Cricetulus griseus: one gene and its partners. The protein of the gene in region 1 interacts with the protein of each later gene in a pairwise test. Links are inferred from orthologs where the notes say so. Each region holds a gene or a part of one and is shown on either strand. Other genes may lie near its edges.

Region 1 (6,070 bases):
GAGTCTGGGGAAGTTTGGAAGCTTAAGTTAGGATCTCCAGCGCCTATGGAAAAACCTGGGACCAATGTAAAATCACTCGGTAGAGCAGTTTACCTCTGTAACCCCAGTCCTGGCAGTACAACAGAGACAGAGGGATACCTGAAGCCAGTGGCCAGCCACGCTAGCTAAATTGATAAGCTCCAGGTCCGTGAGAGGTTCTGTCTCAAAAATAAGGTAAAGTGAAGTATGATCCAGTAAGACATCCAGTATCAACTTGTGACCTCTAACTAACATGCACATGGGTGCAGGAGCAGCTACACAAATATATGCACACACCCACATGATGAATGGGGCCATTTACCATTCACCACGGGGGGGGGGGGATTGACTGGTGGGACTTTTCAGTGGTGTCATGTGACACCCACACTCCTGTTAAGTAACTCCAATAAACTCATGAATTCTGAAGGTAAACTTGACAGAATCTTTCCTTGATGCATTGGTTCCTAATCTACATGTAGTTAATAGACATTTATTTTTATGCCTTACTAAAAAAGTTGACAGGTGTGGAAGTGCACTCCTTTAATCTCAGCCCTCAGGAAGCAGAGGCAGGTGGATCTGAGTTCAAGGCCAGCCTGGTCTGCAAAGCCAGTTCCCAGGACAGCCAGGGCTACACAGAGGAACCCTGTCTTGAAAATCAGTCAGTCAAACAAACAAACAAAAAGAACAACCAAGGACAGAAAAAGAAAGTCATTCATCATGGGGTCTGCCTTCTTTCACCAGGGCTCTGCTGGTGAGATGGACACTCCACTTTGGTATAACACCACAGAAAATCCCAGAGTACTGGTTGCTCTTGCCCCAGCTTGCAGAGTTATGCTGAGGGGAGGATGTGAGGGAAACTGAGGGGACCGGAAGCTGTTGGGCCCCTTTTCTACTAAGCACTCAGCTCCTGTGGTGGGGGTGTCTCTCAAGGAGACACACCATTGTTCCTGCCAACACCACTGCCTGGCTCAGGGATTCCATTGAGCACAGAAGATGGTGATAAAAGAAAGGCTTCTGGGTCACTACAGAAAGGACCTGACTTTATTTGCAGCAGGTTTTGTAGATTCAAGTCTAAGGGCAATTTCAAAAAATAGTGTGTGTGTGTGTGTGTGTGTGTGTGTGTGTGTGTGTGTGTGTGTGCTATCAAAGTGTTCCCTGCACAAGACAAGAGTGAGGGCCAGAGGTTGGATCTCAACAAACCCACGTCAATACCAGCTGGGCATGGTGATCTACCTGTAATTCCAGCCTAACAGAGGAACCCCAGAGCAAGCTGGCTAACAAGACGGACCATACCTGCAAGCTCTGGGTTGCGTAAGAGACACTGCCTCAGTGTTAGGGCAGAAGAGCAATGGAAGAGGATCAACATCAGCCCTCCACATGCACATGCACACGTTTGCAAGCACACCTACTCACCCACACCCACACTGCACACACAAGGAAATGGAAAAAGAAGGAAAAACAGTGGAGGGTTGTGAGAGGCCGTTCAGGGCAAGCTGATAGGGTCTGGAGGTATATGCTATACAATAAGCTGCCTTTTGGCCTGAGAGAAATTGTAAAAAGAACCAAAGAATCCTCCTGGAATCTGAAGGATCTCAAACACGGATTTAGTGGATAGTTACTTCAAAGTAGTCTCAGTCTGGGGGCTGGGCATCAGCTTATGCAGAACTTTACACTCTGGACTATTGTGGAAAATAAAAACTTAAGCCTACAATTCGTGGAGCTTCATAGCTAGATGTGCTCAAGGAGAGTCAGTCAGAGTCTTCCAAGGCCGTTGCTATACCAAAGAGCATAGGTACACAAGGTTGCCCAAGGGAGTGATAACAAAGGCTTCAAAACCCCAGGCTTCAAATGCCATTCACTAGAAAGCAACGAATGACAAGTAGCCCTGGAGAGTTGGGGCAGGATGCAGAGTGCTGAAACACATACAGTAAAATCTGCTTCTAATAAAAAAACTGAAGGTCAGGGGAGCAATAAAGTATGCCCAAGGAGCTGCCAAGAAATCATGTTTGATTGGGGTAAGGTTGCAAAAAGCTGATCCCTTTCCTTTGTACAAATAACAGTAACTGCTTTCCGGGTTCAAGTGTTGTTCTAGGCAGTGTGCTATTGAGCTGTCACAATTAATTCCGAAAGGCATCTATAACATCCGTTGTACAGAGGATGAAACAGGACATTCTAACCTGAACCCAATTCTGTCTGATATGGCTCAAGTTCTTAGCCAGAAAGAGCAGCGGTCTGTCGGTTTGTTCCCACTCCATACGTGAAACTACATGAGGAACAAAAAGACCCGAGGGACTCCCACTTGGAGTCCCTTGCTTGCTCCATTTCAAACACTAAGATAATACTGTGTCCGACAGATGGCGACCCAGAGCACAGCTAACAGCAGGCGCAGAAGAAGGCGCCGAAACTACACAGCCCACAATGCCGTGCGGAGAATCAAGGTCCCGCACTCCTGTTTGGCTGTCTAATCTAGTGCCTGTGCGCACTCCTGAGGGTTTGTGTGGACCGAAGCCGTACAGGTTCTCTTCCTGTCTTCATAGCGCAAAGTTTAGATATTTTTGATTCCTTATCCCGTCTTTGGTTGGAGAGTTGTGTGACTGAAACTAGGCTGTTCTTTGCTGGCCTCACCCTAGCCTAACGTGAGGACCCGTGACCTCTGACCCAAAATGGCAGCGCCCAGAGCGTAGCTCTTGCTGCTCCAAGGCGAACTAAGACTGAAAATCCCGCATCATGTCGAAGCTAAGCCGAGTCTCTCGGGCCCTCAGGAAGCCGGAGGCTGGTGGCGTGGTCCGGGCTATCGTGCGAGCAGGCCAAGCTATGCCTGGGCCCCCACTAGGTCCCATCTTGGGGCAGGTGTAGTGTCTGGAACCGGGCCCGGGGGACACGGAAGGCGGTAGCGGATAGATGGGAAGTCGCGGCTCTTCGCACCCGCACGCCTTGTGTCTTTGTGTTGCTTACGTAGCCTCTGTTGACCTCAGTTTCTCTGACCCTTCCCAGTTGGCTAGTTGCTGATTAAGTGGGACCTTGTGGACGAATCGTCCAGACACGAAGCTGTAATTGAATCCGGATAGAAGAAATATAGGAACACGGGAAATGAAGACGAAGGAGGGAAGGGACGGGCTCCTGGGTGGTAGAAACCCTTTAACTCCTACACTTAACTTTATGCTTTCCTCATAGCGAGGCGTCTCTATCAACCAGTTCTGCAAAGAGTTCAACGAGAAGACAAAGGACATCAAAGAAGGCATTCCCCTGCCTACAAAGATTTTTGTGAAGGTGCAGTCTCATTGTTCTGTAGTCTTCTTTGGCGCTTAAAACTAGTCGCCCGGGGTTGCTTCTCTGTCCCTAACCTGGTTGTCACTCTCCACTTTCCTCATCTACACAGTGAAACCTCAACCATAATTTCTCTGAACCGTCTTAGTCCTACCATATTTTTTTAAAGATTTTATTTATTATGTATACAACATTCTGCTTCCATGTATATCTGCACACCAGATCTCATAACGGATGGTTGTGAGCCACCATGTGGTTGCTGGGAATTGAACTCAGGACCCCTGGAAGAGCAGTCAGTGCTCTTAACCTCTGAGCCATCTCTCCAGCCCAGTCCTACTATATTTTGGCTCATATCTTTCATTTCATAGATGTGTGCTATGGTTTTGTGGTGTTAAAGACACCACAGGAAGGCAAGTTGATTTGAGAAGAAAAGGGACATTACAAATTCCCTGAACCTGAATAGAAAACCAAGAAATTCTCAATATCTTTCTTTCTATCAAGCCTGACAGGACATTTGAGCTTAAGATTGGGCAACCCACTATTTCCTACTTCTTGAAGGCAGCAGCTGGGATTGAGAAGGGGGCCCGACAAACAGGTAAGGACTAGAGTGGGTGCCTGAGATTCTGATGTGTCCAGAAAAAAAAGTAGTGACAACTGGAGCTTGTTCCTTCTTCCCAGGGAAAGAGGTAGCAGGCCTGGTGAGTTTGAAGCACATATATGAGATTGCCTGTGTCAAAGCTAAGGATGATGCTTTCGCCCTGCAAGATGTGCCCCTGTCTTCTGTTGTCCGTTCCATCATTGGCTCTGCCCGTTCCCTGGGCATTCGTGTGGTGAAAGAGTGAGTATCCTGAACGGTGCTGTGGAAAGGAAGCTCCTATTTGGGAGTAAAGTGAGAGGGCCCATTATAGTGAAATAGTCAGGTTTAAAAAAATTTTATAGCATGTATTAGTTATACATGATAGCTTTCATTATGATATTTTTATACATGTAGAGTTTTTGTTTTTTTGTTTGGGTTTTGTTTTGTTTGTTTGTTTTTTTGAGACAGGGTTTCTCTGTGTGTCCCTAGCTGTCCAAGAACTGGCTCTCTGGACCAGGCTGGCCTCGAACTCAGAGATCTACCTGCCTCTGCCTCCAAGTGCTGGGGTTAAAGGCATGTGCCACCACTGCCCGGCTACATGTAGAGTTTTTAAGTCGAAGGACCTGAGATTCTAGCAGAAGGATATGGGTGAAAGCCTCTTCTGTTCATTTGGAATATGCTTCATAAGCCCCTGTTATGTGCTAGACATGGTTCAGCACATTGGATATAACCAGAAATGAGCAGTAGTATTTGGCCACTCTGGAAAAATGTATAGTCCTAAGGTAGAGGCAGATCCATACATAGAGAATTAAACTGGCATTTGGTCAGTGTTGTTTAAAAAATCAGTGGATGTCATGAAAGCAGAGAGGAGAGTTCCTGCTTTTACCTGGTGTGTCAGTGAGGACTCTTTGAAGGAGATGACATCAAAACAGCCCAGGAAAAGGAGGGTAAAGGAGCAATGTTCCAAAAAGTGGGAAAATTGCAGTGAATAATGAGAGGTAAGGGGCTGAAGCTACAGGAGTCTTGTCTAGAGGCCGAGTGGGGCATGATCTGAAGCAGGGAGCAGTCGGGGAGGATCTTTTGAGCTGTCTCACATTCAGACTCCATCCTAAGGCCAACAGCTGTCCCAGTCAGCTGGCTTTGGATGATCTCAGGAATTGTTTACTTGAAGTAAATTGTAAGTGGGAGAGCATTTGACCCAGACCATGTCAGAGACTGGAACAGGGACGGTCATCACAGGCCTCTTCGCTGCAGATGTTATACTCCACAGCAAGGCTGGTATTGGCTGATCCTCAGGGAGGCAGTGTAGAGCACAGGTGGCCTTGATGTTTCTTCAGGTCCTTACTTTGTGGGGCATAGAGGGGAGTGTCTACATACAAGCCTATGACTCCCTCATGTGAAGTGTTTGTGGCTCAAAGGAAGGTCTAGTAAATCCCAGTAGTAGAGTAGAGGCCACTGGTTAAGTAGGCCCTTAAGATGGGAATCAAAGCTATGGGAAGGTGGAGTATGTGGTTGTCTCCGATATCTCACTGTATGGATCCAGGTAGAGGAAACCTGAGCAGAGATATGGGAGTTGGGAGTCCAGAGAGGGGAAGGGCAGCTGGGGTCTGTGCTAGGACCCGCCACTCACTAACCATCTTTGTCCACCTGCAGCCTCAGTGCAGAAGAACTGGCAGCTTTCCAGAAGGAACGAGCCGTGGTTTTGGCTGCACAGAAAGAGGCAGATTTGGCAGCCCAGGCAGCAGCTGCCAAGAAGTGATCCCAGCCTTCCACACTCTGGAATTTTGAAAGAAGAGCCGAGAAGAGAGCCTACCGAGAAAGCTGAACCAAAGGAGAGGAAAGGACTTCATGATTTATAGTTTCCTGACTTCTTATGTATATTTCCATACATATGGCTGTGCTAATGGGTCACGCTGGAATAAACATCCTTTGTTACCCACTCTCAATTTCCCTCTTGAGAACTCAGAGATGGGGACTAATACTGACAGTCATCAACCTTCACAGGTATGCATTGCCCCACAAGTGAGCATAGGCTCAGCCAAGCAGATTACCAAAGCTTGGTACTTTATAAAGAAAAAATATCTATTTGGCTTCTCATTCATGGTGCTGGTGTCTGGCAAGGGCTCTCTTGGCTGTGTCACAGCATGGTTTAGTGGAAATAGTCACATGCATAGGGCTGTCTATGAGAGGTAACCTCACTTGAAACAG
Region 2 (6,081 bases), on another chromosome or scaffold:
TTACAGGCATTCACTACCATGCCCCTGTTTATGCAGAACATTCTAGACAATCACTCTACTAACTGAGCTACACCCCTCCAGATCCCATTCTTTTAAACTGTAATCAAAGGCCTGCATTTTTGATTCCTGGTTTTACAAACTGCTAATTATGAGGGCAGAGTTCATCTTCAATAACCTTTAAGTCTGCTAATATCTGACCAGTTATTCAGCCACTGATAATGCGTTGCAGGCACTAATGATACTGGTTACTTTGTGCATGGCCATCTTCTGGACCAAGCAACTGCCATCTTGGGGAGTTTAGCCGTGCTCCTTTGCAAAAGAATTGTCTTAGCTGGGTTTGTTGACTACATCCCCTCAGGGAGGGGTTGGAAGACCTTCACCTGGGTATCCAGTCGATTCTTACCACCTGTTATATGCAGCTCTGCCTTGACTGCACAAGCAGCTAGTAGCAGTGGTTCTCAACGTTCCTAATGCCGTGACTTTTTAATACAGTTCCTAATGTTGTGGTGACCACCCCAACCATTAAATTATTTTTTTGCTACTTCATAATTGTAATTTTGCTACTGTTATGAACCATAATGTAAACATCAGATATGCAGGGTATCTGATATGTGACCCCCAGAGGGGTCACAACCCACAGGCTGAGAACACTGGGCTAGAGTATCTAGGATGAGGCAGACTAGGGGAAGCTGGATGCTCTGTCTGTGCCACTAGGGGAAAGCCATTATGCCAGCTGAGCAAAGACTTCCAGGTGCAGCCTTTGGGGGAGGAGCACCCAAAATCCACAGGTAATCCGCCACCTAGACTCAAAAATAAACTCAAAGTTTGCTCAGAGTGAACTTTGGAGGAATCATGCCTGTTTGTCCATTTGCTTTTGGGACCTTGTAAGGAGGGGTAGTCATTGCTTACTTCTCCTTCCTGGGAGTGAATTTTAGCAGAAGCTGATTACACAATGTTTTTCAATTGTAAAATGAGGCAGTTAAGACTAATGCAACAAACTTCTCTTGAAATTCTAGGATCAAGTACAATAAACAGCATAAGAGTGAGGGTGTTTAGGTAGATGATAGTGGGACTGGGAGAGGGGGTCCTGAAAGATAGCCTGTTCCTGCTTGTACAACTTGATGTCGTAAATCCCTGTTTCCAGTTTTCCTCATAGAGTATAAGTTTAGAAATAACAGAATGTCTTTATCTTGGGGCAGTAGAATGTCTTAACTCACAGCCAATCATGAGATCAATCGTGGGACCTTGAGTAATCTGAAAAGGGGTTCCATATGAAGTAACAAAAACAGAAACAAAACCCTGTCCCTGTATTTTGGTAGCTGTCTCCTGATCAACAGAATGCCCAGTTGTGGATGAATGTCTCGATGCTGCAAATGGGCTCTCCCTCTCTCTCTCCCTCCCTCCCTCCCTCCCTCCCTCCCTCCCTCCCTCCCTCTCTCTCTCTCTCTCTCTCTCTCTCTCTCTCTCTCTCTCTCTCACACACACACACACACACACACAAGTACTAATTACTCCAGGGCATTTTCCCATGGTTGCACTAAAATGCAGGGTGGGAAGCCTCAAAAGACCTCAGTTTCATACTATTATTAACATTGTGGTTTTAACCCATTTCCTTTGTGGGTTTTGCTAGAGCAGCATAGGAAGAAATAGAAGACTTGGTTAATCATGATGTGGAAGCGAAAATAATTTAAATTTAAATTTCTAAATTTACTTTGACCTACATAGATTACCTTTCTCTGTTAAATGTTCAGTTTCAATTGGAACCCCACATAAGCAAGTGTATTCTATCCGGATTCATAATGTTCCTGTGTGGGAATATTATTTACCTTACCTCATGAATACAGTACCCACAGCATTCATAAATACTTCTTTAAAACCCACAATGCTGAACCCAAAGTACTGCTCTCTCCCTTTGGAATACTTTTGCTAAATAACTTTTGCTTCAACTGCCTATGTCTCAACAGATTGTTTCCTTTTGGAGGACAAGCATGGAGAGGCCCCTGTAAAATTCCTGCCGTCAGTGATTTCAATACATAAGAAACAAATGAGTCAGCAAATATTAAGGCCCTTTCTCATGGAGGCCAAGTGGACTTGAATTATGTGGAAAATGAACATGAAGGCAGATTTTATGTGTTGTTGCTGTAATGTTTAATCTGTTACCTCTTCTTCGCTGGTGATGCTGTAAGTGTCATCAGTTTTATGGCAACACAGGAACGTGATGGTTGAGCCCCTGGTCTCTCCAATAGTTCTTGGGGGTTCTCTAGACATTTAAACAGATGTATTGACACAAACTGATATTTAAGACCCAGGTCGCCTCTGGGCGATCCTTCCCACCTCGCCGGCAAGTTAATTAACTTGTCTTAAGCGGCCTGTGTTTTGGGGTAACTACTACATCACTGAGCGAAAGCCCCAGAAGACAAGCAAGCTGTCAGGAGGAAATCCACCAAGAACTCCCCTCCGCCCCCCCCGCAGCGGGCGAATAGGGCGTGTCGTCACGGAGCATGCGCAGAGACGGTGGCGGAAACGGGCGTTCCTAGGGCGGAAGTGACGCGACGCCGGCTTGGGGCTCAGAGGCGGAGTTGCCGGTCCGTGGTGGCGGAGCTCCGGGGCTCCGGAGCGCGGCGGAGCGCGGCGGGCGGAGGCCCTGACGGGTGAGGCCTGCGTCTGGGCCGCGTGCCTGGCGGGGGGCCCGGCGCTCGCGCCCCGTCTCGGCCCTGGAACCTGGGCCTGGCGCGTGTTGGTACCGTCTCCGTGGTGACGGAGCGCTCCTTCCCAAGGACAGGTTTCCCCGGGCCGCGATTGTGACGTGTGCGTGGGCCCGAGTGGCCAGGAGACGGGGAGGCGCGGCGGAGGCGGGCGAGCTAGGCCGCGGCGAACCGGGGTCTGCCGGGCAGGAGGCCGGTGGGGAGCGCCCAGGGTGGCCGACGCCAGGCCGCGGCGAGCCGGGGAGGACCCAGCCGGAGCCTGGACGCACTGTTTTGGTTTGAGTGGCTTCTGGAGGAAGAGGCGGGGACGCCCTGCTCCGCCTCGTTCTGTGTTTACGCGTTTTGGCCTGATCTCTGGCTTCACCTGGGCGAAGAGATTAATTAAGTCTTGGGGTTTGGAAAGCCGCCCTCCCCACAGATAAGGCTTTACGAAATCTTGGGCAGGGTGACTTCGCTCTTAGGCTGTCTGGACTGCTTTCACGGCTCCGCCTCCCTCTCCCGACCCCTGGGCGACGCTGCCCTGTGTTTGGACAGGTACGAAGGTGGTGCCGGGCAGGTCTGTGCTGTTAGGACTTAGCTGGCGTGGACGCCTGTATTTCTCTACTGAGAAATACGAAGGACAGTTTGTTCCTCAAGAGTTTTGTTGGAAAACGCGGTGGCATTTGACTGCGATACATTTCCGGCTCTAGAGCTGCAAGTTAGTAGTGTGTTAGAAACTTAGGTGGAAAAGTTTTCATCGCTGCTTCCCGCCAGCGGTGAAATTTCGTGATCAGTACAGGAACAGATACTAATTAATCTTTTAGGGTTCAACCCAAGAACATTTGAAAAAGATTATTTGAATAACATTTGTTAAAGTGGGCTGGTTGTGGGCTTAGGAGCTTTAAGGTGCTCTCCAGGTGTGGAGACGAGGCTGAGGCCAAGCGCTGGCCTCCATTCTGATCTCTGTGTCCTTCCCGAATGTTAGGGTTACAGGCAAACAGCACCACCTTGGACTTATAAGTTATATGATTTCTACAAGAATATATTTGACTATGCTGGAAATGACTTGTTAACTACTACCCCCACCCTGCCCATCCTCTGTTAAATTTCAAACAAAGTCGTTTTCAAATTGTTACATTAGTTGCATACTGTTTGCTTTTACGATTGTAGCCATGTATGTGAAATTTAACCAGTGAATGCATTTTCTAGGACAAAATAACATCCTTGCATTATTAGTTGCAATTTTTAAAGAGTGCTGTTTAAAAATAATTATTTAGGCTTATTTTATGAGTGTTTTGCCTGCATCTGTATATGTGCATCATGTGTATGCCTGGTGGCCACAAGTCAGAAGAGGGTGTCAGATCCCCCTGGACTAGAGTGATGGATGGTTGTGAACTACCATGTAGGTGCTGGGCACCGAACCAGGGTCCTCTGCAAGAGCAAAAAGTGCTCTTTACTGAGCCATCTCTCCAGCCCCTAGGATGCTAAGTTTTTATGCTTGATCCTATCTATACATTTTTATTTATATACATTTGCACTATACAGGTAAGGAATTATCTGTAAAGTTTATTTTGACTTATATATTGCCAAGGTCTCACTGTGTAGTCCTCGCTGTCCAGGAACTCTTCATGTAGACCAGGCTGGCCTTGAACTCAGATCAGCCTGCCTCTACTGGCCTTCTGAGTGTTGGTATTGAAGGTGTTTGCCATCAAGCCCAGCCTCACCTGTAAGGTTTATTAGATTGTTTTCTTTTGGAATGTCTGTTAGTATCTAAAATTTGGGCTTTATGTACTTATGACTCTAAAGTTTACACTTTTCAATGAGCCTTCAAAATTACAAATTTCCTGTTCTATATACCTGTGGGCCAAGAGCATAGTATTTTAGAAACGAATTTATGAAAAGTTAAATCAGGCCTGATGTTTTATCACCTGGGATTCTAGCGCTTGGGAGGCTTAGTTGGATGTGTGTGTGAGTGTGTGTGTGTGTGTGTGTGTGTGTGTGTGTGTATGTGTGTATGTGTGTATGTGTATGTGTATGTGTGTGGGCGGGGTGTCATATGCTTGAGGCCAGCCTGGACTATAGTACATAGAGCCTTTCTCAACAGAGAAAACAAGTACAACTGGGTGGCAGCTGGGCAGAATGTAGGAATACTCAGCTGTGAAAGCACTGGAGATAAAGATGTCTTCAGCAATGCAAATTAACAAGGTCTTTGTTTCAGCCTCCTAGAAAGTTGACTGATAACATCTTTCTGAGAGTATGGTATTCTACAAACTAGGCAAAGGAGCTGAAGAATGAGTAAGGGAACTACCAGGCTATTTTTATCCCCATGAAGATGTATGTATGTATGTATGTATGTATGTATGTATGTATGTATGTTATTTTTGAGACAGGGTCTTGCTATGTATGTAGCCTTGGCTGTCTGGAAGTTAACTATGTAGGCCAGGCCTCCTAAAACTCAGATCTGCCTGCCTCTATTTCCCAAGTGCTGGAAATAGGTCCTATTTTTGTAACTGAAGATTTTTAAAAACATTGGCTGTCAACCATTATCTTAATTATGGTACTTTGCAAGGGTACAAAGTGTTCATGCAGTGTTTTCTGTTGAAGACACACAGACACGGGGCTTTTTATTGCCAGTTTGCTTTTATTGACTTTATTCTTGAAATTTCTGACTAATAAAAGGACTAGGAGAAGTGAAGTTGGAATTTTTTTTCTGTTATTTTATTATCCCCCACTCCTGGAGCATTTAAATCAAATGCTAGAAATCAAGCCTTTTCACTCTTAATTAGTAGCTAACTGATAATTTTTTAAAAAGACTTTAATTGTATCACACAGCTCTTTTGGAAGCTTAATTGATAGGGTAGGTGAACTATCTAAACTTTAAAAATCCAAGTTTAGCAGGACGGTGGTGGTACACACCTTTAATCCCAGTAATCCGGAGGCAGAGGCAGACAGATCTCTGTGAGTTCAAAGCCAGGCTGGTCTACAAGAGTCAGTTCCAGGATAGCCTCCAAAGCCACAGAGAAACCCTGTCTTGAAAAACAAAAACAAACAAAAAACAGGTTTAAGCCGGGAGTTGGTGATGCATACCTTTAATCCCAGCACTCTGGAGGCAGAGGCAGGTAGATTTCTGAGAGTTCAAAGCCATCCTGGTCTACAGAGAGTGCCAGGATAGGCTCCAAAGCTACATAGAGAAACTCTGTCTCGAAAAATAAACAAAAAAAATTTCAAAGTTTAACTTCATATGGAGCCACTGGAGGAAATACTACCACAAAAGGCTGCTCTGTTTGGGGCTTGTAAAAAAGCCCAAGAACAGTAAAGATGATAATGAAATGCTTTTAGCTATTTGCTTAGCTGAATGCCTACTGTCTCTTATTTACCTCTAGATATTAGTGAATTC
Region 3 (6,034 bases), about 62 Mb from region 1:
GCTGAGGGGCTTGAGGAAGCTGAGGTGGCAGCCAGGCGCCAAGGTGGGGTGAAGACAGAATAACTCTAAAGCCCAGACTTGCTGCTGCTGTTGTCTGAGATGTGGTCCTGGGGGAGACTGTGTGCTCATCATCTCGGGTTCCATTTCCAGATAACTGGCCCTCTCCTTCATTCTGCCCCTCCTCCCCCATGAGTCAGAGCTCACAGCAAGTCTTAGCAGTGAGACCTTGTTTTCAAGCAGTAGGAACATCGGATCAGTTTTGCAACCAGACATTCAGGACTGAGAAAGTCTTAGAAAAGACTTTGAATTGTTCTGTTGAGAATCGTCCACTGCAATAAGGAGTAAACAGATCCAGGATGGATAATGATGAGAGGGACTGAGGTTAAGTTTCCACGGCTGGAAGCAATTCTGGCCTTGGAGACCACTGAAGGGAGAAATGGACTTACTTGCAGGCAATGTGCTCGGCAACCTGGAGGTGCTGCCGATCATTCAAAGACTTATTGTGGAAAGGCATGTTCTATGTTAGAAATGTCATTTGTTGATCATCTATGCATTTTCTTCAAAAAATATGGGAACTAATTTCTTTTTTTCTTTTCTTTTCTTTCTTTCTTTCTTTTTTTTTTTTTTTTTTTTTTTTTTTTTTTTTTTTTTTTTTTTTTTTTTTTTTTGGTTTTTCGAGACAGGGTTTCTCTGTTTCTCTGTGTAGCTTTGGAGCCTATCCTGACACTCGCTCTGGATACCAGGCTGGCCTCAAACTCACAGACATCTGGCTGCCTCTGCCTCCCGAGTGCTGGGATTAAAGGCGTGCACCACCAACACCCGGCTCTTATTTTTCTTATAATCACAAATCTCTAAATAGTAAAATGATTTTTCTACTGAATCAAGTTACCAACATAATTTTTAGTTGAATATAAGAGAGCAGTTTGTAGACATTACAATTTTGGTAAATAACTTAAAAATAAAATGGAAATGGATGTGTGGGGTGGGTATATGTGTGTGTTTATATGAGCAAGTGCATGTATGTGCATGTGTGTGTAAGGCCACATTCTAATGTCAGCTCCCTTCATTGATGGCTTTTCCCCTTATTCTTTGAGGCAGAGACTGTCACTGAACCTGGAGCTCATCAGTCGGGTTAGGCTAGCTGATCAAAGAGCTCCAGGTACCTGCCTGTCTCTGTCCCTCACCCATCTCCCAGTGCTGGATTAAAGAGGCATATTTTAATGATCTGAACTCCAGTCCCTGTGCTTGTGTGGCAGACACTTGACTGACTGGGCTACCTCTCCAGCCCCCAAATGCATCTTTTAATAAAGTGAATGGGACTTTTTGTTTGTTTTTTAAAAATTCATACCCAAGTATGAAAATATCACATTCTAGAAATGCAACATGAATGAGATTTTGTATTTTTTTTTTAAATTTTGTCCATGCAAACACAGAGTGACCATGCTCACCTACATAAGTAGGTGGGAAGGGAAGCAATTTATAACAATGCCAGTCCGTTCTGACAGTTCTTCCTGAAATACATGCCAAAATTGCATAATGACCTATCATGAACATTTATTTTAAATAGTGTGTCAGCTGACAACTTGATTAAATCCTCCTGCAATTTTGTGGGAAGCAAAGAGCTGGAAAGCACTTACCTTGAAAAAATTTTTTCTTACCCATTCATTAATGTCACTCACTGTCAGCATCGATACCTATACTTCAGATTGTCCTTTTGTCTAGTCTCCTGGAGGTTTTATTAGAATCCCAAGCAATGAAATCTCACTGTGCAATGTAATAGTCAGAATGAACAGGAAGTATATTTTTGCTTTTATAATAAAGAAGAGAAGGACTGTTGAGAAAAGAACCTCACATGCTGGCTCATTCCCAGGCAAAGCAACCCAGAGAAATATTAAATACAAACCCAAGAATCTAAAAGCTGATAACTCTTAATAGTATCTGTGCCTGCATTCCCCATGGAAAGCCTCATACACATGCCATGGGGAAAAGACCAATATCATCAATCCCATCTTTTGAAAGAGCCTGAATATGAACAAAAGAGAGGCAGAGATGGTAGCAGGAGGGAAAGGTTAGTTTTAGGCTGGTATCATGCACACTATTATTCCACAGCTTGATTACCTAAAATAACCGATATTTATCATCTTACATATTTTGTGAGGGCTGAGGATTGAGACAAGGTCTTCCAGGTGACTCCACTTCAGGGTGGTACTCCCCAATGCACCTTTCTTCAACAGGGTCCCAATTCCCTCTGCTTGCTAGCCAGCCTGTGTCTCCGTGTGTTTTTCTTGATTGTTGAACAATTGTGAGTCACCTCCAGCCCAGACAGTTTGGTGAATTTGTTTGCCATGATGCAGGCTTCGACCATAACTTCTTTGATGAGATCTTAACCCATAGCCTTCTTGGGAACTGATGTTGATCTCTTCTTTGTCCTAGGATCCACTGACTGTCTGAGAAGGACTGTTCTGTATCAATGGAGCAGGAAGCAGGGGAAGAGCCGGGGCTGGGCAGGTCAACAGCCCCCAAAGACTTCCACTTTTATCACATGGACCTGTATGACTCTGAAGACAGGCTGCAGCTCTTCCCAGGAGAAAGCAGCAGAATCAGGAGAGAAGTAACCCAGGCTGAACAGACCAATGAGCCGAGAGGGACAGTGGACAGTAAGAATCTTCAGAAGGAAGTGGACGAGCTTGTCCATTTATATGGACTTGAAGATGACCATGAGTTAGGGGATGAGTTTGTTGATGAACACAGACTGGGGACTCTGGGGTATCCTTCTTATGGGATGAGGAGGAAAGACTCAGCCAGAGATCAGAGAGGCTGGGGGCTTAGCAGTGAGGCGGCTGAGGCTGAGGAGGACCTGGGCTATGGAGGGCAAGGCCTTCCTGGCCAGTGCCAAGACCTTCGGGAAGCCTACAGGTATACACATGGCCGTGCCAGTGAGGAGTATGAATGCTACGTCATCCCAGAGGAGGAAGATGAAGAAGAGCCTGCTGATGTCTTCTGTGTCACTTGCAAAACTCCAGTAAGAACTGTTGAGAAGGATTTTGAAATACACAAAGAACATGAAGTAACACCACTCAACAAAGCACTGGAAAGTGCCAAGGTAACAGGTCTCCTTCCATCTTTGTCTGGAGAGTATTTGTGAGTCTCAGGGAGGTGGGCAGGGAATACATCCTGAATGCCTCAACTAGGATGGGATGGGGGACTGGAGAGATAGCTCAGCCGTTAAGAGTATGGTAGCTCACAATCACCTGTAACTGTAGTCCCAGGGGATCTGATGCTATCTTCTGGCCTCTGTGGTCACCAGACACACATATGGTATACAGGCATACATGCAGGCAAATGTCCATACATATATTTTTTTAATTTAACAAAATTAAAACAAACATAGCATTAACACCTTGTTTGTTCTGTTCCACAGGATGAAATCCACAAAAACATGTTCAAATTGGAACAGCAGATCATTGAGATGGAAAATTTTGCTAGCCACCTGGAGGAGGTGTTCATTACAGTGGAGGTAAGAACATACTTGGTATTGGGGCTGGAGAGATGGCTCAGAAGTTAAGAGCACTGCTTGTTCTTCCAAAGGTCCTGAGTTCAATTCCCAGAAACCACATGGTGGCTCACAACCATCTGTAATGAGATCTGGTGCCCTCCTCTGACCTGCAGGCAACATGCAGGCAGAACACTGTACACATAATAAATAAATAAATAAATAAATAAATATTTTTTAAAAAAGAACCTACTTGGTGATTTCATCACACGTGTAGCTTCCATCCGTGGCCACAATAAGCAAATGGTATTTCTTTTCTTTTTTTGAGACGGGGTTTCTCTGTGGCTTTGGAGGCTGTCCTGGAACTCACTCTGTAGACCAGGCTAGCCTCGAACTCACAGAGATTCACCTGCCTCTGTCTCCCAAGTGCTGGGACTAAAGGCGTGTGCCACCAACACCCGGCCGCTATTTCTTTTCTTTTTCTTTCTTCTTTTTGTTTTGTTTTTCCAGACAGGGTTTCTCTGTGTTTCAGCTCCAGCTGTCCTGGAACTAGCTCTTGTAGACCAGGCTGGCCTCAAACTTACAGAGATCCCCCTGCCTCTACCTTCCGAGTCCTGGGATTAAAGGCATGTGCCTCAGACCTATTTCTTAGAATGTGAGGTGTCACCTGTCCCCTCCCTTCAGCTCTCCATAGATTTTACACACACACACACACACACACACACACACACACACACACACACACATACACACACACATACACACACACACCGGGTAGCTACAGAGGTGATGGTCACTTGTCTGCATCCCCTACTACATTTACTATGTCATCTAGGTGGGAGAGGCTGGTGTGTGTGTATCTCCAGGTCTGTTACACTGGATGTTTCAAAGCAAGTGTGTTTATACATGTTTATTATATGGATAAATAAAGCAGAAAATTTCCAATCAAAGTGCCAATTGCATGGGGTTTAGAATTTTTTTTTAATTCCAACAATGAAAACTATGGTAGCCCTATCCAGATGGTGAAATGAACAGTTTTCTTCTGTCCTTGAAGCTGGTGTGTGGTGGGGAACATATATGTGTGTTTGTGTGTACCTGTGTATACAAGTGTACATACACATGTATGCTCATGCATGTGAGGCTCAGAGGTCAAGTTTGGGTGTCTTCCTCAGCCACACTGTACCTTATTTTTTGAGACTGGGCCTATCACTGAAATTGGAGTTCTCTAATTTGGCTCACCTGGCTGGCCAGCAAGACCTGGAGATCCCCGTTTCCAGTCACCTCAGTGATGGGATTACATAGGATCACTACTGCACCTGGCTTTTTATATAGGTGCTGGAGATCCAAATCCAGGCCTTCATACTTGCTTGGCAAGCTCTTTGCCCCAACTGAACCACTTCCCTAAACCCCTGCCCCTGATGGGCTTTTTGTTTGTTTGGTTGTGTTTAGGTGGAAGTCCTACCTGCCTCTATATCTATTCAAAGAGGTTGGAATGTTTGGTAGCCTGTTTCAAACCCTGCCCTCAGGTTGCCAAGGGCAGGCCATCCCCTGGAGTCACCTAAGTCCAGACTCTACCCCTAAAAAACCTACCATTGGTGGCCCCACCCTGGAGGATGTTAAAATCCCAATCTCTGGATGCAGCTCCTAGTTCCTGGTTTTCTCTTCTCCTGGGGCCACCCAGGAATGCTTTGCTCAGATTAAACCTGGATTTATTTATTTGGTCTGATTGGTTTATTGTAACAGTGGTAGGAGGTTTCCAGTAACCTTTCCACTGACTGGGAATTTTAAACAAAACAGGTTGCTTTTGTCCTTTTCTTTCTCTTGGTCTCACCTTGAGATTTCCTTGGGTCCTATCTGATGTCCTGCTGTATAACCAGACATAACGGGTTTCATGCTGTTGCTTTGCTCTCTGGGGTTTTTACTTTGAGGTTTTTGGGATACTGTCAAGTATTAAATCAGGTGTGAATTGTCAAAGTTTCCTCCCCTTTGAAAATGTTCATTGTGCATATTCATTGTACACACTGTTACATCAGGACATTTTCACACATGTATATAATGTGTTGTAATTCCTCCAACTCCACTCCCCTCTTTCATCTTTCTTGTTCCTTTCCCCTTAATATTCTCTGCTACCTAGACACTTTAGTGGCATATGTACATACATGATCTTATGAATCTATGTAAGATTTAGGAGCCACAAATAAGAGAGAATGTATATTTGTCTTCTGAGACTAGCTTAATTCACTCATTTTGACGGACAGGTAGGTTATCTCCACTGGCATTCATTTTCCTGCAAACAGTTCCATCATGTATAAATACATGCTCTTTACCCATCCCTCTATTGATGGACACATAGCTTAGTTCCACAACTTAGCTTTTCTGAATAGCCTCAATAAGCATAGATGTGCAAGTGTGTGTGGCAGGCTGACTTGGACCAAAGTCATTTTAAAAAAGCAGCTCAAGAGAGAAAGATGCCATAGAGTTCAAGTGGAGGGGTTTTATTAGGATAAAGGGATCATAAAAATCATAAAAAGGGGAAAGGGA
Region 4 (6,056 bases), on another chromosome or scaffold:
TCAAACTTTAGCTTAATTATTAATACATAAACACTACTTTTTCTCCATTTATTTATTAATTTGTATAATATTTTTCTAATTGCTACATTTATACAGGTGATCCTTTTCTTTTATGGCCGGGGTTTAAGAAACAAACACATTTTGATTTTTGTTGTTAAAAATGTGCAAATTTAGCCCAGCATTTTGGTGTCCATCTTTAATCACAAGACTGGAGAGGCAGAGGCATTGGGACCTAGCCTAAATAGCTCAGTTGGGAGAACATTAGACTGAAAAGGCATGGGGACCTCTGAGTTTGAAGTCCAGCCTACTCCACATAGTGTGTTCCAGGACATCTAAGGAGATATAGTGAGACACTGTCCCAAACAAATAGAAAGTGTTCAAATTTAGGGACAGAAAAGACAAGATTTGTTTAGAACAAACTAAAAACCAAAGGAATCAAAGCTATGTAAAACCCCGAGAAATTTCAAGAAACCACCAAGGGTGTTCCACAATGACAACTGAACAGCATTGGTCTCCAGATATGAAACAGACAAGAAAAGAAGGGACATGTACAGGTCCCATATGCTTGGCCTTGTCAAAAATCCGCATTAGGAGTCTAATGCATGGCAAGGACAGCAAAAGATACAAGTAAAATTGAGGGGAAAATTATAGTCAAACAGGCCAGTAAATGACATTTTCATGGGCAGAACAATGCAGACATTGAATGATGACTAAATACAAAAAAAAGTTTTCTTGTGTTGTTGCGTGGGAGAGAAGTATGAGCAATATTTGCAAAACGTACACCAGAAAAGCATTTAAAAATTCTATGACTAGCTCGAGTACTTGAGTTCAAAGGCCACTCATAAGCTAATAGCATTCTTTAACAGGAAATAAAAGAATTAAGAACATTCCTGACAGTGAGCAAGAACCCTCTCAGAAAGCCTATACAATCTCCATAACTGAAAGTTACCTATCACCTTTCTGCTGTGAAATTTTGAGTGCATGATGTAATTCTAGGCATGAGCAAATTAGCAATAGGAATGCAGGATTTTATGGTATTTTGTAGAACAAGAGGAGCAAAAACAAAAAACGTTCATGATGCTTCTGTTTCCCGTCGGCCTCTAAATCTGCAATTGCCACGTTTATTAAAGATTCAGAACTGGAGAGGATCTTAGCAACCAGTGACAACTTACCTATCTTACATGCTAATTTTTTCTCCACTCTAACTATTAAGCAACAGTGGACTCAAGAGCAGGCACATTCTTGAACTCTTCAGTGGTTTTGCAGATAGCCACTGATGGAGTGCGTTCCTGTGCCCCTACCTGGCCTGTTCTTTGAGAATGCCAGCAAAAAACTCACGATCTCCCTCTCCTTGTCCCTTCTCCCTTCTCAAAGCGAAACAGGCTCGACACACGCACGTGATGCTAATGACGTCAGCCCCCACTGGGTCGCGTGACCCGCAGCCAACGGTCCTACTGCCCCACCCCCTCGCCACCAGAGTGGGACATCTCGCGAGAACTCTTCTTACTATCAGAACTTGCTGAGGTTACAGGGGATTTACTCAGGAGAGGAAGGAAGGTGTGGCAGAGTGCTGGACTTTTTGCTTTCATTATGTTAGGATTTATGGCCATGCAAAGGCTTATGGGGATTGCCCTAGTCAGGAAAACAAAGGGAGAGGAAGGTAAAGAGGTGACAGTAAAACCTGTAATGAAACGTGGCGCTCGGGCTGTCCTCACTCCTAGCTGAGGGACAGCGGGGCAGGGCAGAGGTGGCCTGGGCTGGCAGCCCCCGGCCGTCACTGCGAGCCGGCTCCGAGACGTGCGACCCGGGTCGGGGAGCAGTAAAGAACCGCGCCCAGAAGCAGAGGCTGCATCCCTCTCGGGCTTCCCTGGCACCGTGGCCGAGTGGCCGGCCTAGAGACGTCCCCAGTGTGCGAGCTGCGAGTCGTCCCTCATCTTCCCGACCCCTCGTGGGTCACTGCGCCATCCCGGTGCCCGTCCCCTAAGTGCGCTCCCCGCTGCCTCCGCACATCACCTCCCTCGGGTCTCCTTAGACGGCTGCGGGAGAGCAGCCCGGAGGGACGCGGCTGGAGTCGCTAGAGGGAGGTGTCGGGCCGGCGAGGAGGGGGCTTCGCAGGGCGGGGAGAGGCAGGAGGAGGCGCCGGGGAGGGAGGAGCTGCAGCGGCCAGCTTCGCCCGAGCCGAGCGCACTCTGTCTCCGCGCGGGTTCCCAGCCTCGGGGCCCCGTGGGGAGCGCGGGCCACCAGCGCCGCCTCCGCCTGCAGGAGCAGCCGGCCGGCTGTGGACTCTCGGGCGCCTGCCGCCGCCCCGGGCTCTGCGCTGAGCTCGCTCTGCGGCCTCGGTGTCACCAGCCACCCCTCCTGCCGGTCCCCCGACCCCTTCTGGGAGCGCTCTGCCCCGTGGCCGCAGTGGGAGGAGGAGGAGGAGAAGGAGGAGGGATCGCGGAGCGGGCTGGTCTGTCCACCGCGCCCCGCGCCCCGCCCCGCCCCTGCGCGCACTCCCTCGCGGGCGAGCTACTTTCGGACGAGGAAAGTGAGGGCGGCCCCCGGGTGACAGCGCGGCGCCGCCAGTCCCGGGAAGCCGCGTCTGTTCGCGTGTCGCCCGCCCGTCGCGCTCCCAGCGGCGCACTGTCCAGACCCCGCCATGGCTTCGACGACCACCTGCACCCGGTTCACCGACGAGTATCAGCTCTTCGAGGAGCTCGGAAAGTAAGCGTCCCTGCCTGGCATCTCCTCCCGCGAACCCCTGTCTCCCTCGTGGGGAGAGGGAGCCCGGAGGCCGAGGCGGGGTGACGGACCCCTGGCTTGGTGCGGGTGGAGCACAGAGGGGAGGAAACCCCTGCCCCTCTGTGACGGGTGTCTCGAACCCCCAGTCCTCCTTTTCGGGGTCTTCCGCCTCTCCACGGGAGACTTGGTGAATTTACGATCTCTGCAGTTGTAGCTGTCATCCTGAGAAGTGTGCGCGCACGCGAGTGTGTGTGTGTGTGTGTGTGTGTGTGTGTGTGTGTGTGTGTGTGTGTGCCGAGAGGAAAGGAGATGCATGCAAAATGCAACATTTATCACATTTACGGTATATAGATGTCTCCTGCTCAGCCTGCGGTCGGTGTGTCTGCCGTCTGACCCAGGTTCCGATGAGCTGATGAGCACTGGCTCTTAGAGACGGTGCCATATTTATCGATGCCGAAAGTTCTACTTGGCTTGGTGGAGAGTCTGGTTCGGCATCCAAGTAGCTGTTCTGTCCAGGAAAAGGGCCACCCAACAGAACCCACTCCCTTGCCCCATATCCGCTATCCTTTGCTCACCATCATTCTCACAGGCTTTAAGTACGACTATATCTTTTCTGAGAAGATTTATTTATCCAGGCAGCGGAAAAGCCCTCTGGAGCTCAGGAAAGCACTTCCCAAGGGTAGCCTAGCCTTGTGGTTGTGTGTCAAATGACCTCCTCCACTTAAGTGCCAGAACTTCTTGTAGATGTTAAGGAGGGACAGGGTACCTACAGAAGATCTGTCCAGGGGCGACCAGAGAGACCCAGCCGGGAATGCCGATTTACCAAACATGCAACCCCAAACCAGTTCCTCTATTGCCGATTTTCACTATTAGGGAAAAGATGCATTTGTGTGTGTGCTGTAGGTTCGTACAGCTGCATAAAAGGAAGTGTAAGCATTTTAAATGGAATGAAAATGATATCTTTATAGATGATCTGCTGTTTGAAACATGGAGACTTGTCGGAAGAGCAGCTTAATTCAAATCTCTCCCCTCCCCCAGCCCAAACCAGGCAGAGAAATCACCTTACCCCAGGAGCTGGTAAAGCACACCAGTGAGCCCCAGATTTATGTTTTAATGGAAACAATCGCCATATTTACTTACTTGGAGCCACGTTAATTATTCTTCCTATCGAAATAAGCAGGCAGGAGATTATTTTATTTTCCCCCTGTTCCTCGGCTCTGCTCTTTGCAGGGTTTGCTATGAGCATTTGGTGTTTTGTGAGTGTGAATTATGAAATGTTTTCAAATTTCATGTGCAAACAAGAGTGGTCATAATTGGCATTTCCTTTTATTTTGTTGGTTAATAATGTGTGTTTCCAGTCAATTAAAATTTAGTTTTACTCCTCAACATTTAAAAGGGATCTGGGTTTGCCAGGAAGAATTGTTCATTTTCTAGAAAATGCTTATATTATATTGATATTTGACAGATCGCTAAAGACACGTACATATGCTCAGGTTTGTAAGTTTCTAAGTGGATACTAGGTCTGATTATACTGCTGACTTGCTAATTATTGGTTTCCAGGGGGGCATTCTCAGTGGTGAGAAGATGTATGAAAATCCCTACTGGACAAGAGTATGCTGCCAAAATTATCAACACCAAAAAGCTTTCTGCTAGGGGTGGGTATTTTAAACCACATTTATTTATATATGTTAATTTTGTATTTGTTGTGTAGATTGGTGTTGTCTTGTAAGTAAATGTAGCATGCAGTTATAACTGAATTTTAAACTTAGGAGTCATATTATGTACTGACATTTTTTCCTTGCCAAATGTCCCTTGGTCTGTATACTTTGATAGGAAATGAAAAATATATAATTGTTATGGGTAACATAAAATGCTGTCGTATGAGCAGTAACATAAATAAATACTTTGCAAAGCATATGAATGTCATGAAGTGCATTTTGCTGTTAGCTCTAGTGTGAAATAACTTTCAGAAGGATCCTAGAATGGAAAAAAATGTAAGTCTCATAACTGTCATAATTCCCTTTCACTTTTGAGATGAAAAACAGGTCATGGTTCAGTTGAATGTATATTGTAGTTGTAGTTACAGCTGAACTTAATACATCAAGGTATATTTAACCTCAATGGCTTTGGGAAGAAAAAAAAAAGATCACTGATGTAATCTAGGAAGCTAGCTTAATTTTGATGTACGTAGGTTAGGCCTTTAACTTGGTCTTGGAATTAAATTTCCCACCAGAGCATACATTATATTTACACCTGCAGTTTATAGCCATGGAGATAATTGATAATTAAAGCTGTTGACATAGTTTTTTAAAAAGCAACTTGGAGCCATGTGCTCACATTTTTTATATCATATTTTGTTTAAAATTATGCAAAAGCACATTTACTGAAACACTGGGCTTTGCAGTAGCTGCAGGCATGTGTCTAAGGTATTTTCATGGGAATTTATGGTTTGATGAAATTAAACTGAAATCAAAATGAACAAAACACCGTACAGCATCTCATCTCAGTGACCTGGTTTATTTTAAGTAATGAGAGGAAATTCCATTAGAGTTAGTTTTTCCTCACTGAATATATCTTTTAAGACATGCCACTTAAGGATGTCTGGATATCATTGCTTTTGTCCTTTGCTGTGGTAAAGGGATTTGCAAATGCTACTTTTAAGATGTGCTGTAGGTTTCAGGATATTGACTCACTTGAATGGAGTTCGGTTGCAATTTTCTTCATCTGGTTTGCTATAGTTCTGAGAAAGAGCTATGTGCTAGCACCATGGAGTCCTGGTATGAAAACTAATGAAGAGCGAGCTATGCTAATTACATTTCCCCTGCCAGTCTCCACTCCACTGGAAGGTGTTGTAAGAATGACAAGGCAGTGTAGAGGTATGAATGCCAGGTTAAGGGAAAGAAGAAGGCTGAAAAACAGACTTTTTCCAGGCATTGCGTTATTTCTTCTGGTGTGATACACACTTTGGCAGTGGTGGGCTATCAATTTGGGGGGGGGGGGCGGTGTTACCATGCCTATTCCAAGCTTTTTAGTGACTTTAAATTTCCCCTCAGAACAACAGAGACTGGTAGTCACTTTTACTAGCTTTATTAATTAGAGTCAATAATTTTTAGGCTCTTCGCTCATACTCCTTATATCGCCCTGGCAGAGAATCAGTCTCACTCACTCCCTTCTCCTCCCTGGGAGAAAAGTGCCCCTGATTGGCTCCTGCACTCTCTTCTCTGTAGAGCCCCCCATCTGCTCTCCATGAGCTTCTCTCTACACATCTCCTTCCTGACTCAGAAGGTGTTCTCTTCCTTTGCTACTTTTTAGTTATTCAGTTTTCATTATTT

What was found. The genes of interacting proteins can lie anywhere in the genome.
Region 2: the proteins of Mrpl11 (region 1) and Tax1bp1 interact in binary tests that used the Homo sapiens proteins (3 or more experiments, as listed by UniProt). The two-hybrid records come from large-scale screens. The link is inferred for Cricetulus griseus from reciprocal best matches to the Homo sapiens genes MRPL11 and TAX1BP1.
Region 3: the proteins of Mrpl11 (region 1) and Fsd2 interact in binary tests that used the Homo sapiens proteins (3 or more experiments, as listed by UniProt). The two-hybrid records come from large-scale screens. The link is inferred for Cricetulus griseus from reciprocal best matches to the Homo sapiens genes MRPL11 and FSD2.
Region 4: the proteins of Mrpl11 (region 1) and calcium/calmodulin-dependent protein kinase type II subunit delta interact in binary tests that used the Homo sapiens proteins (3 or more experiments, as listed by UniProt). The two-hybrid records come from large-scale screens. The link is inferred for Cricetulus griseus from reciprocal best matches to the Homo sapiens genes MRPL11 and CAMK2D.

Annotation. Positions count from the first base shown.
Region 1 is NC_048596.1:54,326,022-54,332,091, reverse strand, and holds Mrpl11 (39S ribosomal protein L11, mitochondrial), read left to right. Parts: upstream 1-2,655; 5' UTR 2,656-2,745; coding exon 2,746-2,868; intron 2,869-3,192; coding exon 3,193-3,288; intron 3,289-3,786; coding exon 3,787-3,880; intron 3,881-3,963; coding exon 3,964-4,123; intron 4,124-5,515; coding exon 5,516-5,621; 3' UTR 5,622-5,808; downstream 5,809-6,070.
Region 2 is NC_048601.1:88,623,078-88,629,158, reverse strand, and holds the start of Tax1bp1 (tax1-binding protein 1), read left to right. Parts: upstream 1-2,517; 5' UTR 2,518-2,651; intron 2,652-3,087; exon of another isoform or gene 3,088-3,239; intron 3,240-6,081.
Region 3 is NC_048596.1:115,969,618-115,975,651, forward strand, and holds the start of Fsd2 (fibronectin type III and SPRY domain-containing protein 2), read left to right. Parts: upstream 1-2,470; coding exon 2,471-3,103; intron 3,104-3,421; coding exon 3,422-3,517; intron 3,518-6,034.
Region 4 is NW_023276806.1:32,180,327-32,186,382, reverse strand, and holds the start of calcium/calmodulin-dependent protein kinase type II subunit delta, read left to right. Parts: upstream 1-2,492; 5' UTR 2,493-2,641; coding exon 2,642-2,706; intron 2,707-4,284; coding exon 4,285-4,379; intron 4,380-6,056. UniProt on the Homo sapiens protein: Calcium/calmodulin-dependent protein kinase involved in the regulation of Ca(2+) homeostatis and excitation-contraction coupling (ECC) in heart by targeting ion channels, transporters and accessory proteins involved in Ca(2+) influx into the myocyte, Ca(2+) release from the sarcoplasmic reticulum (SR), SR Ca(2+) uptake and Na(+) and K(+) channel transport.